Linked DNA regions of Caenorhabditis elegans. The protein of the gene in region 2 purifies or fractionates together with the protein of the main gene of each other region. This does not show direct contact. Each region holds a gene or a part of one and is shown on either strand. Other genes may lie near its edges.

Region 1 (5,349 bases), on a different chromosome or scaffold from region 2:
TTTTATTCTCATTATATTTCGATTAATTTTCAGATAAGTCCTTCAACGAAGCTCTAAAGTTCCATTTTGCCTCGATTCTTCTCGACGAACTTGATGCAGCCGGAGGATTAACCAAGAAGCAAGTGACGGCCTGTCTCAAGCCATACATTGAACTTCTCGGAAACAAAGACATCAGTGAATATTTGTTCACATCACTTTATGAAGAAATTTTCAAAACTATTCTCCAGCAGAAAAGTGATTTGATCACCGCTGTTGAAGAAGGAGAAGAGATGGATCAAGGTGGAATTGAATTCAGTTACAAGGAAATCGGAGCGTTGCTATTTGAAGTGGGAAAGCAAGAACATTTAAATGCTAAGAGAAGAAAGAAGATCTATGATCTTGTTAAGAAGTTCGATAAGAGTTCTCGTGGACAAGATCCATTACATTTCGAGACCCCAGTTCCAAAGGAGAGGTTGACAAGACATGATTATGAAGAAGCCGAGAAGAAGGCCATTGTGTTGGCCAACAGCTTCAAGCAAGAGAGAAAGTCGTCCAGAAAAGTTAAAAGGTACACTTATAGGCGTATTAAGCTGACGAATTTATTGTTAGATTTATCGTGAAATGTAAAAACTTTAAAAATAAAAATTTTTTAAAGCCAAATCAAAAAGCGAGCTCGTGAGGCTGCCGAAGCTGCACGGCAGGAGAACGGAGATGATGTTCCAGATGACGAAATCGCTGAAGTTAAAAAAGGAAATGGAAAGAAAACAGCAGTTCCTAAAGTGAAGAAAGGGCGCCCACTTTTGAAAGCTAAAGGAGTCGGAAAGAAGAGAATGGTCGGCGGCCTGAAAAGAAAAGCAGGAAAGAAAAATTAATCTGAATATCATTGTTGCTTGATTTGTTATGTTTTTGTTATAATTTCAATTTTTGATGCATTGTTACTTTTTGGAAGTGATTTTTTTATTGAATTTTTAAAAATAAAAAAAAAACAATTATTTACAAGTAGATTTAAAACTGAATGCTGCTAGCTCCTCCTGGAGGAATTGCTGCCCTGACTGGAGCTTTCACAACGATGTTCGCATTGGCATCAGGTGTCTGCAGTGCCGATGGCTCATATGGAATTCGGTCTATTTTCACAGGTTCCATAGCCTTCTTACGATTGTCAACAGCTGAGAAGACGATTTGAGAGTCTGGAGCCAAAGGAATGAATTGTCCTGAACCTTGAACAGTTTTCAGTTGACCATTTGCCCAAACAGTACGTCCTCGGGAAATTGTGATTTCTGGAACTCCGTGTACTTGCATTCCTTCGAAAATATTGAAGTCAATCGCCTTGAATTTTTTGCATTAAAATTGAATTTACTAAAACCTAAAACTCACATGATGATGTGTATCTTTTGAAATAGTTCTAGTTGCATTCGCATTCCAAATCACAATATCCGCGTCGGAGCCAACTGCGATTCTTCCCTTCTGTGGGTAACAATTGAAGATCTTAGCAGCCATTGTAGAAGTGACTGCCACAAATCTCATAGGATCAATGATTCCAGCATGAACTCCTTTATCCCAAACAACTGACATTCTGTCTTCAACTCCGTTTACTCCATTCGGAATTTTTGTGAAATCATCTTTACCAAGAGACTTTTGTTGACAATCAAATGTACAATTATCGGTGGCAGTGAGATGCAATTCTCCACTGAAAATTGTTTAGTCTCAAAATGTTGGGGGTTTTAATTGAAAATTTAAAGGTGAACTGTCTCTTTTGAAAATTTTATTCTAATTTCCACCGAATATGCTAGGAAAGTTTGAGTTATCGTAATTTCACGAGATTTCGACCTCTTCTTTGAAGGTACACGGGATTACTTCATTTTTAGCTAAAAACGATTTTAGTTTTAGCGAATTTTGTAGAAAATGGACAATAAAAGACTACCACAAACTTTTTTGCGCACCTAGACCCATCGTAATACATTCGTGTGTCTTTGGAAGGGCAAGTCAAAATATCGTGAAATTACAATAATATAATTAAAAATTCCGAGCAATCTGACAGTTGGGCTGGACTTACTCTGAATCTGTGCCTGCGGAAAATCCGCGCTGTTTCTTCCGTAAGTTTTTTACCCATCAAGTTCTAGAGTATGTGCCGCCCAATTTACGGTTTTTTAAAGGCTATTTTGAGTTGAATTTTTTTGATAAAAACGTTTTCCTTTTTGGTGTAAATCGCATTTTTGGCTAATTTGGAGGTAGTAAATATACACTTCAGTGCTGTGCGGCTCTTGAAAAAAGTCGGCTCTCGGCGCGCGCCGAGTCGGAAATTTTTTTCGGCTCTTGGCTCCGGCCAAGAGCCGAAAAAGCTCCAAAATGCCGGCTCTCGGCTCGCGCCGAGAGCCGCACGGCACTGATACACTTCCAAGAATTCTATACTTACGCAGCCAACAATTTCATCAATGCACTAGGTGTTGATGGATCACGAGAAAGTGGAGGAGACATGACATAACGAGCAGCATGAAGCCAATCTTCATTATAATAGTGACTTCCATCAGTGGCTAGTCCTGCAGCAATTGGTTCTCCAAACACAACAGCTCCCTTCTTTCTGTGATGAGCAATTGCAGCAGCTGCTCCTTTTGACATTACGTGAACTACGTACAATGGACAGTTTGCCTGAAATTTTCTCATTGAATATTTTAAATCTCACAATCCGAAATACCTGAGAAGCCATAGTACAGGCACGGAAAGTAGCTTCAGCTTCCAATTCTTCTGGGCGAGATTGAGTGTGTCCTTCTGGTCCAGTAATACCAGAAGAAAGAAGATGCTCACATCGTTCCGCAATGACGGATCCGTTTTCAGCATGAACACGAGCCAATGCACGTAACTTTGCGCATTGAATCATTCCTTGATAGAATTCTTCGTCACGAACCATAAAGACACCTGCGTACGCGAGGAAAAACTTGAAGGAATTGATTCCTAAAAGTTGATATAGACTAGGACTACTAAAACTAGAACTTGGTATACCATATTCAGCTCCAGTAACAATTTCCATTTCTTTGGCAATTTCAGGCCCCCAACTGGTAATTGCCATCGACAATCCATAGTCACAAACGACTTTTGGATCAGCCCACCCTCTCCAACGATCGTAAGCAACAAGGAGGGATTCGCCTTTTGTTGGAATTACAAAGTCAATAATCTGTAACCAAAAGTTGGAAACTTTTATTTCTTAATTTCAAATACCATAGTTGTACCACCAGCAACAGCAGCTTCCGTTCCCCTATGAAAATCATCCTTTGCAATTTCTCCCATGAATGGTAGCTGCATATGTGTATGTGGGTCAATGCCACCTGGAATAACAAGACGATCCGTTGCATCAACTACTTCAAGACCAGGAGTTGGTTGGATGGATGGAGCGATTTCCCTGAAATTCAAATTTTCCATTAAGATGCATGATTCAAAGTTGGACTCACACAATCCTTCCATCAAGGACCAGAACATCGGATTTGAAGATAGCATCATCATTGACAATGGTTCCATTTTTGATTAGAAGTGACATTTCTACAGAAAAAATTTGATTAAAATTAAATTTGAATCAACTAAAATGTTTTATTTATACCGATAAATGGATATCAAAAAGCGACGGTGGAATAGGGAGTGGGCGGAGATCAAGACAACGGATCAGTGGGAAACTAGGAAGAAGGCGTGATATTTTACAGAAACATTTTGAGGAATAAAATTGCTATTGCGGGATACATATTGTTTCATATACTTTAATTTTACTAATAAAAATGCTAATCCAACAAAATGAGCTTTCAATCAAGATATTCTTCAAGATATTCTCAATTTTGATTGAACAGAATAACAACAACAATATACAAAATAAAAGAGAGAAAGTATCTCATCAGAGGTGTGTATGCATCAACACCAGTTGTCTTTTCATAGCTCTTCTTCCCGTGAGCCCACCTCCCCGGCCTTCTGCTGGACAGCAGATGTAAAGGTTCCAAGTTGTAAAAATAAAGAAATGGTGCCATATAGTTTACAACCAGCACATTGCCCTAAAACCAAAAAACAACCGAAAATCAGATTTAGTTAGGAGGTGAGGCAGTCGTCTTTGGACCTGCGGAAAGGTTTGTTATTAGATCCAAGTCTCAGCGTTTGAAGATATCCAAAAACGGTTACGGTAGTTCAGCCTTCACAAAATTGTCTACAATCGATGCAGTTAGAATGATCAAAGTAACTTGTTTCATCTATACAGTTTAGCAATTGAGTTTTGTAAATCAAAAACTGTTCTACATACTTTAACCTCGGTTTAATTTAAATATTTTATAAAACTTTTCACTTTAAAAAAGAGCATAATACATACTGTTTTATCTCTGTAATTAATTAGCAAAGTTCGTGAATAAGCAAATTAACACGTAGATAACTTTTTTGGTAAGATATGGTTTTTGCATAATAAATACTAATTTCTTCATGATAAACTCTTGATTCCTGAACCTCCAAAGGTATATTATCGATAGATTAAAATATCAAATTTCAAGGACAACCTCGTCATTTATCACTTTACAGTTATTAGTGGGAATTCTCTTTTTCCTTTTCCCAGTTCTTCTTATCAATCTATCAATCAACGCACTTTGGTGGGCGGTCTTGATTTTAGTTATATCTAAAAGGATGTATAATTTTCTTGTATTGATACCTAGATCACAGAACGAACAAAAAGTTCCAAAAAATGAGAGGATGAATTCAATGAAATGATCATAAAATGGCCTTGAAATTGAAGTTCTAGACATTGAGATTTATTTAATAATTGATAAGGCATACTTTAAAAATCCTGCAGACTGGTTCTTTAATTTTCGAAAAGTCTCTACAAAACTTGTCTTCGGAAAAAGAAACTTAGAAAAATGAAGAGCAACTGTTGAAGTGATACCGCGTGGTTTACACTGAAGAAGACAGAAGATCATTCAAGCTCGTTGAGTGCTCTAATAGCATTCTATCAACAGGGGTCAAGGAAAATCTAACAAATCTGAAGTAAACGTAAATTTAAATTGGAAAGTTTCCAAAAATAAGGATCTTTTTAAATAAATAAAATTTGAATTACAGTTTAATCGATAGTCGAACTAGAACAACAATTGGGCATTTTTTTATATTTGTTTTTTCAGAGTATAGCCGCATTGAAGATATTTGTATAATTTCATTTTCAGATTCTAAAGTTAAACAATTTCAACGCTTTGATTACGTTTACCCATCACACTCTTTATTACTCATCCCAATAATCTTTAATCTATAGGTTGATCGCACAGAATGCGTTCCTGCATTGCCATGCATTTAAAGTTTGAACATGTTGTTGTAATTTGTTAGATATGACCAATTTGCAAACTATAAACTATATCACCATACTAT
Region 2 (6,463 bases):
ATGGCGAGTCATAAAAAAAATTAAAATTTCCGGAAAAATCGTTAAATTTTAAATTCTAAAAGGTATAAATTTTACAACAAAAAAATCGATGAAAATTAATTTTTCTAACCATTTTGACAGCACTTTCACATTAAAAAAAAATTGGCGGGAATTTCAAGTTTTAGGTTGTTCCAAATTTTTTGGCGGTGAATTAATATTCTATTTTTCGATTAACTTAATTTCACAACAAAAAAAAATTGGAGAAAGTTATATCTTTAACTTTTCTACAAAATTCAGCGCTAAATTTAAAATTTTGATTTTTAAAAAATAAAGTTTCCGGAAATTAAAATATTCCTAACTAGCCTAAAGCCTAAAGCCTAAAGCCTAAAGCCTAAAACCTAAAGTTTAAGACAGGGCTAAAGTTTCATGTAAAAAATGGGTTGAAAATTAACATCTTTAATCTAGATTTCTTGTTGTAAAAAGTGTTCATTATATTTTCTGGCACCGCAAATTCCAAATAATTTTTGACCTTCCACTTCTCTTGTCAAACAACTTCAACCACATGTGTTCTGACTCCTTATCACCAAGATCATTGATTAGTGCACATATACATCTCACATCATAGATACTTTTCTTTTTTGGATCAAAGAAGCTTCAGCCCCGCCACTTCACAGATCATATGGTTACAACAAAGAGATAAAGAGATAAGTCAGGAGTCCGCAGAGAAACTAAGAACCAAACACGCGATATTCGGGTTGTCCACCGTCGGCTGTTTTTGTTGCAGTGGTGAATTGGGGATGTGTGTAAGAAAAAAATTATTTGGAAAAAGACCAACATCGTGGCGCGGTGAAGGTGCTTTGGTGTCTTCTTTTTGAATAGTGCAATTATTTGAAAAATAAGACCAAAGTATTGTTTTCAAACAGGTTATGCAATAGTTTATAGTTAAAAGAAAACCTGAATTTGACAGATATTTCAAAACTGGCGGGGATAGCCGGTCTTAGTGGCCGCTAGCAACGAGTTCAAGCCCTGACACCCTCTAGGATCACCCAGTCTTAAATGGAGCAATCTGAATTCTCCGTGGCTCGAACCTAAATCCCAGAGAGAGCTCCACCAGGAATGTTGTACAGAAATTCAGCGATGCATAAGACTTGAAGAACGGGTTTTATTTGACTTGAATTTAAAATAAAATATAGGTTTTCAGTTAAGTTTTGTAGCCTTTTTGGGAAATTCTGAACATATTTTAAAACTTTAAAACTCCCCGCTACTCCAAAAAAATATCCTATCAATGTTGTTTTCTTACGAAAAATAACTGATTCCAGTGGGATTTTGTTTGTTTGCCCTTTCATTATATGTAATTGTTTACTCAACTTTTTCCTGATTATTTAGTATTATTTAACATAAATAGTCTGGCAATATGAAGAAGTAAGCTTTACAAATTTGAAAAACCAAAATTTACCATTTTGTAAAATTTTTCAAGTCACGGTTACAGCCAAATAATTAAGTGAAAAATTACAAAAAAATTATTATGTACATTAAAACTGCAAATTGGGTGCAATTCTAGACTAATAAAAAATATATAAATGCCCTAAAAATTTCATATCTTAATTTTTTCTGGTTGATTTATTTTGACTTTCATTTTTTGTAATTTAAAATAGACTTACAATTTTGTAATTCTGATAGAAAAACCAAGTTTTTTCTAAAATATTAACAGTTAGCACCCAGCATTTCAAATTTCAAAAAAACTGCATTATTGACAAACATCTCCCATATACCTAAACATTTTCAAAAAGCGTACTTCATCAACGATCAACCATCATATCAAGCTGCCAAAAAGACACACAAAAAAAGCGTAAACAAAATAATTGACTGTTCTCTCTGCACCTCTGCGTCTCTTTCTATCTATTCATCAATTGTCTCTCTCTCCTAATGATATCACACACTGCCTCGACTCCGCCCCCTATAGTTTCGGACCCTTATCGCTCTGCGTCTCGTCGGGCAGAGTATAAAAGCCGGGTCCCGGGAGGTGTGCCGACTTTAGTTCCCTCACAAGAACTAAGCTTATTATACAAAGACACACACAATGAGTTCTGCGGCTAAAAATTTTTATCAGGTATGTTGGTTTATTTTTTTATAATTTGAAATTTAATATATGAAATTTTTAAAATTTAAATTATTTCAGGTAGTCAAATCGGCTCCAAAAGGCCGCTTCAAGGGCATCAAACGTGACTATACCGTCGAAGATGTGCTCAAACTCCGAGGCTCCATCGACATTGACTACACCCTTGCCACACGTGGAGCCAACAAACTCTGGCAACTATTGCACACTGAGCCATTTGTGCCGGCTCTCGGAGCCCAGACTGGAAACCAAGCAGTTCAGATGGTCAGAGCCGGATTGAAGGCTATCTACTTGTCCGGATGGCAGGTGGCTGCCGACGCAAACTCCGCTGGAGACATGTACCCCGATCAGTCTTTATATCCAGCAAACTCTGGCCCGGAATTGGCGAAGAGAATCAACAGATCTTTAAGAAGAGCAGACCAGATTGAAGCCTGTGAAGCCGAGGACTACCTCGCCCAACGTGATTGGTACGCGCCAATCGTTGCCGATGCAGAAGCCGGATTCGGTGGAGCCCTGAATTGCTTCGAGTTGATGAAGGTAGGCATGCAACACTAACAGTTGCTCTTCACTGACCACTGGACACTTTTGGGGGTGAGAGAGATAAGAGTGGCAGTTGGCATTGCCGGTGTGTAGCTTTGTTGTGTAAAAGTGTATAGTTTCAAATGATTTCAACGCGGGCGTCTAAAGGAAACGGGACGGGGAGTGTGTAGGGAACAAAGAATGTCCAGTGGTCCTGGTCCTTTGACCTATTCAGTTTTCCAAAATCGGTACATACGAAGTTCCATGTGTTCCTTTCTTCTCTTTTTATCACCCCCATTTCATCGCAGCGCTCACTTCTCGGTCAACAAACATCTTTCTTCTCTATTTTTCTCCACCCAACAATGATTAGAATGATTAGATAACGCTATCAAAAACAACAAAAATGATCGTTGGTTGTTTTAGGCCTATATCGAAGCCGGTGCGGCAGGAGTTCACTACGAAGATCAGCTTGGATCGGAGAAAAAATGTGGTCATATGGGAGGAAAAGTCTTGATCCCAACCGCCCAACACATTCGTCACTTGAATGCGTCTCGTTTGGCTGCTGATGTCTGCGGAGTTCCTACAATCATTGTCGCAAGAACCGACGCAGAGTCCTCTAGACTTTTGACATCTGACATTGATCCAAGAGATCATCCATACATTGACTACGAGGCTGGAAGAACGATTGAAGGATTCTACAGACTCAAGGATTCCACTGCAATTCAGTATTGTATCGATCGTGCCATCCAATATGCTCCATACACCGATCTCATCTGGATGGAGACCTCTCACCCAACGATCGCCGACGCCCGTGAATTCGCTGAAGGTGTCCACAAGCAGTACCCAGACAAGATGTTCGCCTACAACTGCTCTCCATCCTTCAACTGGAAGAAGCATCTGTCCCCATCGCAGATGGAGAAGTTCCAGAAGGAGTTGGGAGCTATGGGATTCAAATATCAGTTTATCACGCTTGCCGGATACCATGCCAACAGTTATAGCATGTTTGACTTGGCCAGAAACTACAAGGAGAAGGGTATGCTCGCCTATTCCGGGCTCCAGGAAGGAGAGTTTGCTGCTGAGAAGCATGGATATACGGCAGTAAAGCATCAGAGAGAAGTGGGAACCGGATACTTCGACGCTGTCAGTCGTGCGGTTACCGGAGGACTCTCTTCGACTACTGCCTTGTCAGGATCCACTGAAGAAGCTCAATTCCAGACTGCTGTTGCTTCGCAGGATGAGGAAATCCTTTCGGTACGTTTTATTCAGACCTGCATATTAAGGCAAGAATTAGAAGAAAAAATAACTAAACAAAATTTCAGCTCACCGCCCAAAACGTTGCTGGAGACGAGAAGATCCTCACACCAGATGCTCTTCGCTTCCTCCACGACCTCAACACCGAATTCAACCCTCGCCGTTTGAGACTTCTCTCCAAGCGCAACCAAGTTCAGGCTGATATCAACAACTCCCTCTGGTTCCCAGATTTCAACAAGGAGACCGAGGTGCTCCGTAGTGATCAAGGATGGAAGGGAGCCGAGATTCCAAGGGATTTGCAAGATCGTAGAGTTGAGATCACTGGACCAACCGATCGTAAGATGGTTATTAATGCTATGAACTCTGGAGCCAATGTATTTATGGCTGACTTCGAAGATTCCAACTCCCCAACATGGAGAAACCAGCTTGAAGGACAGATCAACTTATATGATGCTGTAAGAAATAACATCTCCTACACCCACCCAACTACTAAGAAGGAGTACACACTGAATGAGAAACACGCCGTTCTGAAGGTCCGTCCACGTGGATGGCACCTTCCAGAGAAGCATGTCCTCATCCACAACCAGCCAACTTCAGGATCTCTCTTTGATTTCGGACTCTTCGTTTTCCACAATGCCAAGGCCCTCATCGCCCAGGGCTCCGGTCCATATTTCTATCTTCCAAAGCTTCAAAGCGCCGAGGAGGCTCAACTCTGGGCTGACGTTTTCAAGTACACCGAGGACAAGCTAGGCCTCGCCCGTGGAACCATCAAGTGTACCGTGCTCATTGAGCATTTGCTCGCCAGCTTCCAACTCCACGAGATCATCCATGCCCTCAAGGACAACATTGTCGGACTCAACTGCGGACGTTGGGATTACATCTTCTCCTACATCAAGACGTTCCAGAACCATCGCAAGTTCCTTCTCCCAGACCGATTCCAAATTGGAATGACCGCTCCATTCATGAGAAACTACTCCTTGGAAGTCATCAAGGCCTGCCATCTCCGTGGTATCCATGCCATGGGAGGTATGGCTGCCCAGATTCCAATCAAGCACGACCAGGTCGCCAATGACAAGGCATTTGCCCTAGTCAGAGCTGACAAGGAACGAGAGGCCACTGACGGACACGATGGAACATGGGTTGCTCATCCAGGATTGGTGCCATTGGCTAAGAGAGTTTTCGATCAAATGATGCCAAAGCCAAACCAGATCAGCAAGAATCTCACCCGCGCCAATTGCACCAAGGAAGACCTCACTGTGATCCCAGAGGGAACCCGCACTGAAGCTGGATTCCGCCATAATATCTCTGTAACTCTTGGTGAGCCTTAAAAAATATTTTTGAACATTTTTGAAATTGGAATTAATTTCAGGATACCTCGACTCTTGGCTCAGAGGAACCGGATGCGTGCCACTCTACAACTTGATGGAGGACGCTGCCACCGCCGAAATCTCGCGTGCTCAGCTCTGGCAATGGCTCCATCATGATGCTAAGCTTGAGGACGGTCGCACTATTGACGCCGGACTTGTCAAGCAAACGATTGCCGCCGAGACCGAGCGTCGTCTCATCCGAGCCGGATCAGTTGTCAACCGAATCCCAGAGGCTGCCGACTTGCTCGAGAAGTTTGTCACCGAGGAGAAGATGAGCGACTTCTTGACCACCGACGCTTACGACAGGCTTGTCTCTGAAGGATATTAGGAAATTTTTTTAAATTTGAATTACTTATTTGTATACTTCTCTCCATGATTTTCGTTGCACCTACTGGTTTTCTTGTACATTCTGCCGTTAATTATAAATCTCTTCAGTAAAATTTTGTCATGTCCGTGTTGTGTTCAAAAAGTCCACGAATTCCAGACTTTCCCACGATTTGAGACTTTACCTCATATCCGTGTCACTTCATTTTTTCACACAAAAAAAGCACGTAGTGAATCACTTGAAAAAAAAATCTTGAATTTTCTCTGGTTCTCTGGTCTATGCGTAAGTCTCAAAAGTTTGAGATAAAAAGGTGACATCTATGAAGCGTGAAAATTGAAGCTGCAGAGTCATAAAGTACGAAGCGATGTTTTGTTACATAAGCTACATATGTTTTCTATCTAAAACTTATGTTTCATTATTCAACAATCAAATTGTTTCAACTGTTTGTGTTCGTGTTCCGCTGCAAACACATATAGCAAACTGTAAATTGCAATATAGATGCTCTACAGGTGGCCTGCTGCCTCCACACACCTATCGACTCAAATTAGTACATCTGCGCAACGACTCGCCATTCAAATAGTCGATAATCTTACGTCAGTTGTCCATTCCCTCTCATTTCTTATTTAGCACAAATGAATATTCTCCGACTACCCACAAAAGCACTTCGCTGCACACTTCAACACTGGCCGCTTCTAGAAATGTAAGTTATTTAACTAAAAACAAAACCAAATGTGAACAATTTCAGATTAACATTTTCGTTGTTTTCAAAAAAGACGAAAAATCTTTCTAAATCTCTGCATCGAAGCGCCTTATCGATTTCTGTGAATGTTGAAGAGTTGATTGAACTCAAAATTCAAATCGCTCGGCGTGATACAATCAACTTCATCTTTTACACAAGCAGATATA

The links. The genes of interacting proteins can lie anywhere in the genome.
Region 1: the proteins of icl-1 (region 2) and dhp-2 fractionate together in Caenorhabditis elegans (co-fractionation; one large-scale study listed by BioGRID). This does not show direct contact.

Annotation. Positions count from the first base shown.
Region 1 is NC_003282.8:9,976,345-9,981,693, reverse strand, and holds dhp-2 (Dihydropyrimidinase 2), read right to left. Parts: upstream 3,573-5,349; 5' UTR 3,509-3,572; coding exon 3,423-3,508; intron 3,374-3,422; coding exon 3,193-3,373; intron 3,149-3,192; coding exon 2,977-3,148; intron 2,929-2,976; coding exon 2,672-2,928; intron 2,626-2,671; coding exon 2,393-2,625; intron 1,667-2,392; coding exon 1,354-1,666; intron 1,306-1,353; coding exon 985-1,305; 3' UTR 919-984; downstream 1-918. Other genes in the region: rrp-1 (Ribosomal RNA processing protein 1 homolog), read left to right, coding at 34-547, 635-851; C47E12.14 (Salivary lipocalin), read left to right, coding at 5,310-5,349.
Region 2 is NC_003283.11:723,554-730,016, reverse strand, and holds icl-1 (Malate synthase), read left to right. Parts: upstream 1-2,012; 5' UTR 2,013-2,059; coding exon 2,060-2,089; intron 2,090-2,158; coding exon 2,159-2,632; intron 2,633-3,037; coding exon 3,038-3,865; intron 3,866-3,933; coding exon 3,934-5,182; coding exon of another isoform or gene 5,183-5,193; exon of another isoform or gene 5,194-5,234; coding exon 5,235-5,560; 3' UTR 5,561-5,679; downstream 5,680-6,463. Other genes in the region: fbxb-72 (F-box domain-containing protein), read left to right, coding at 6,190-6,257, 6,303-6,463.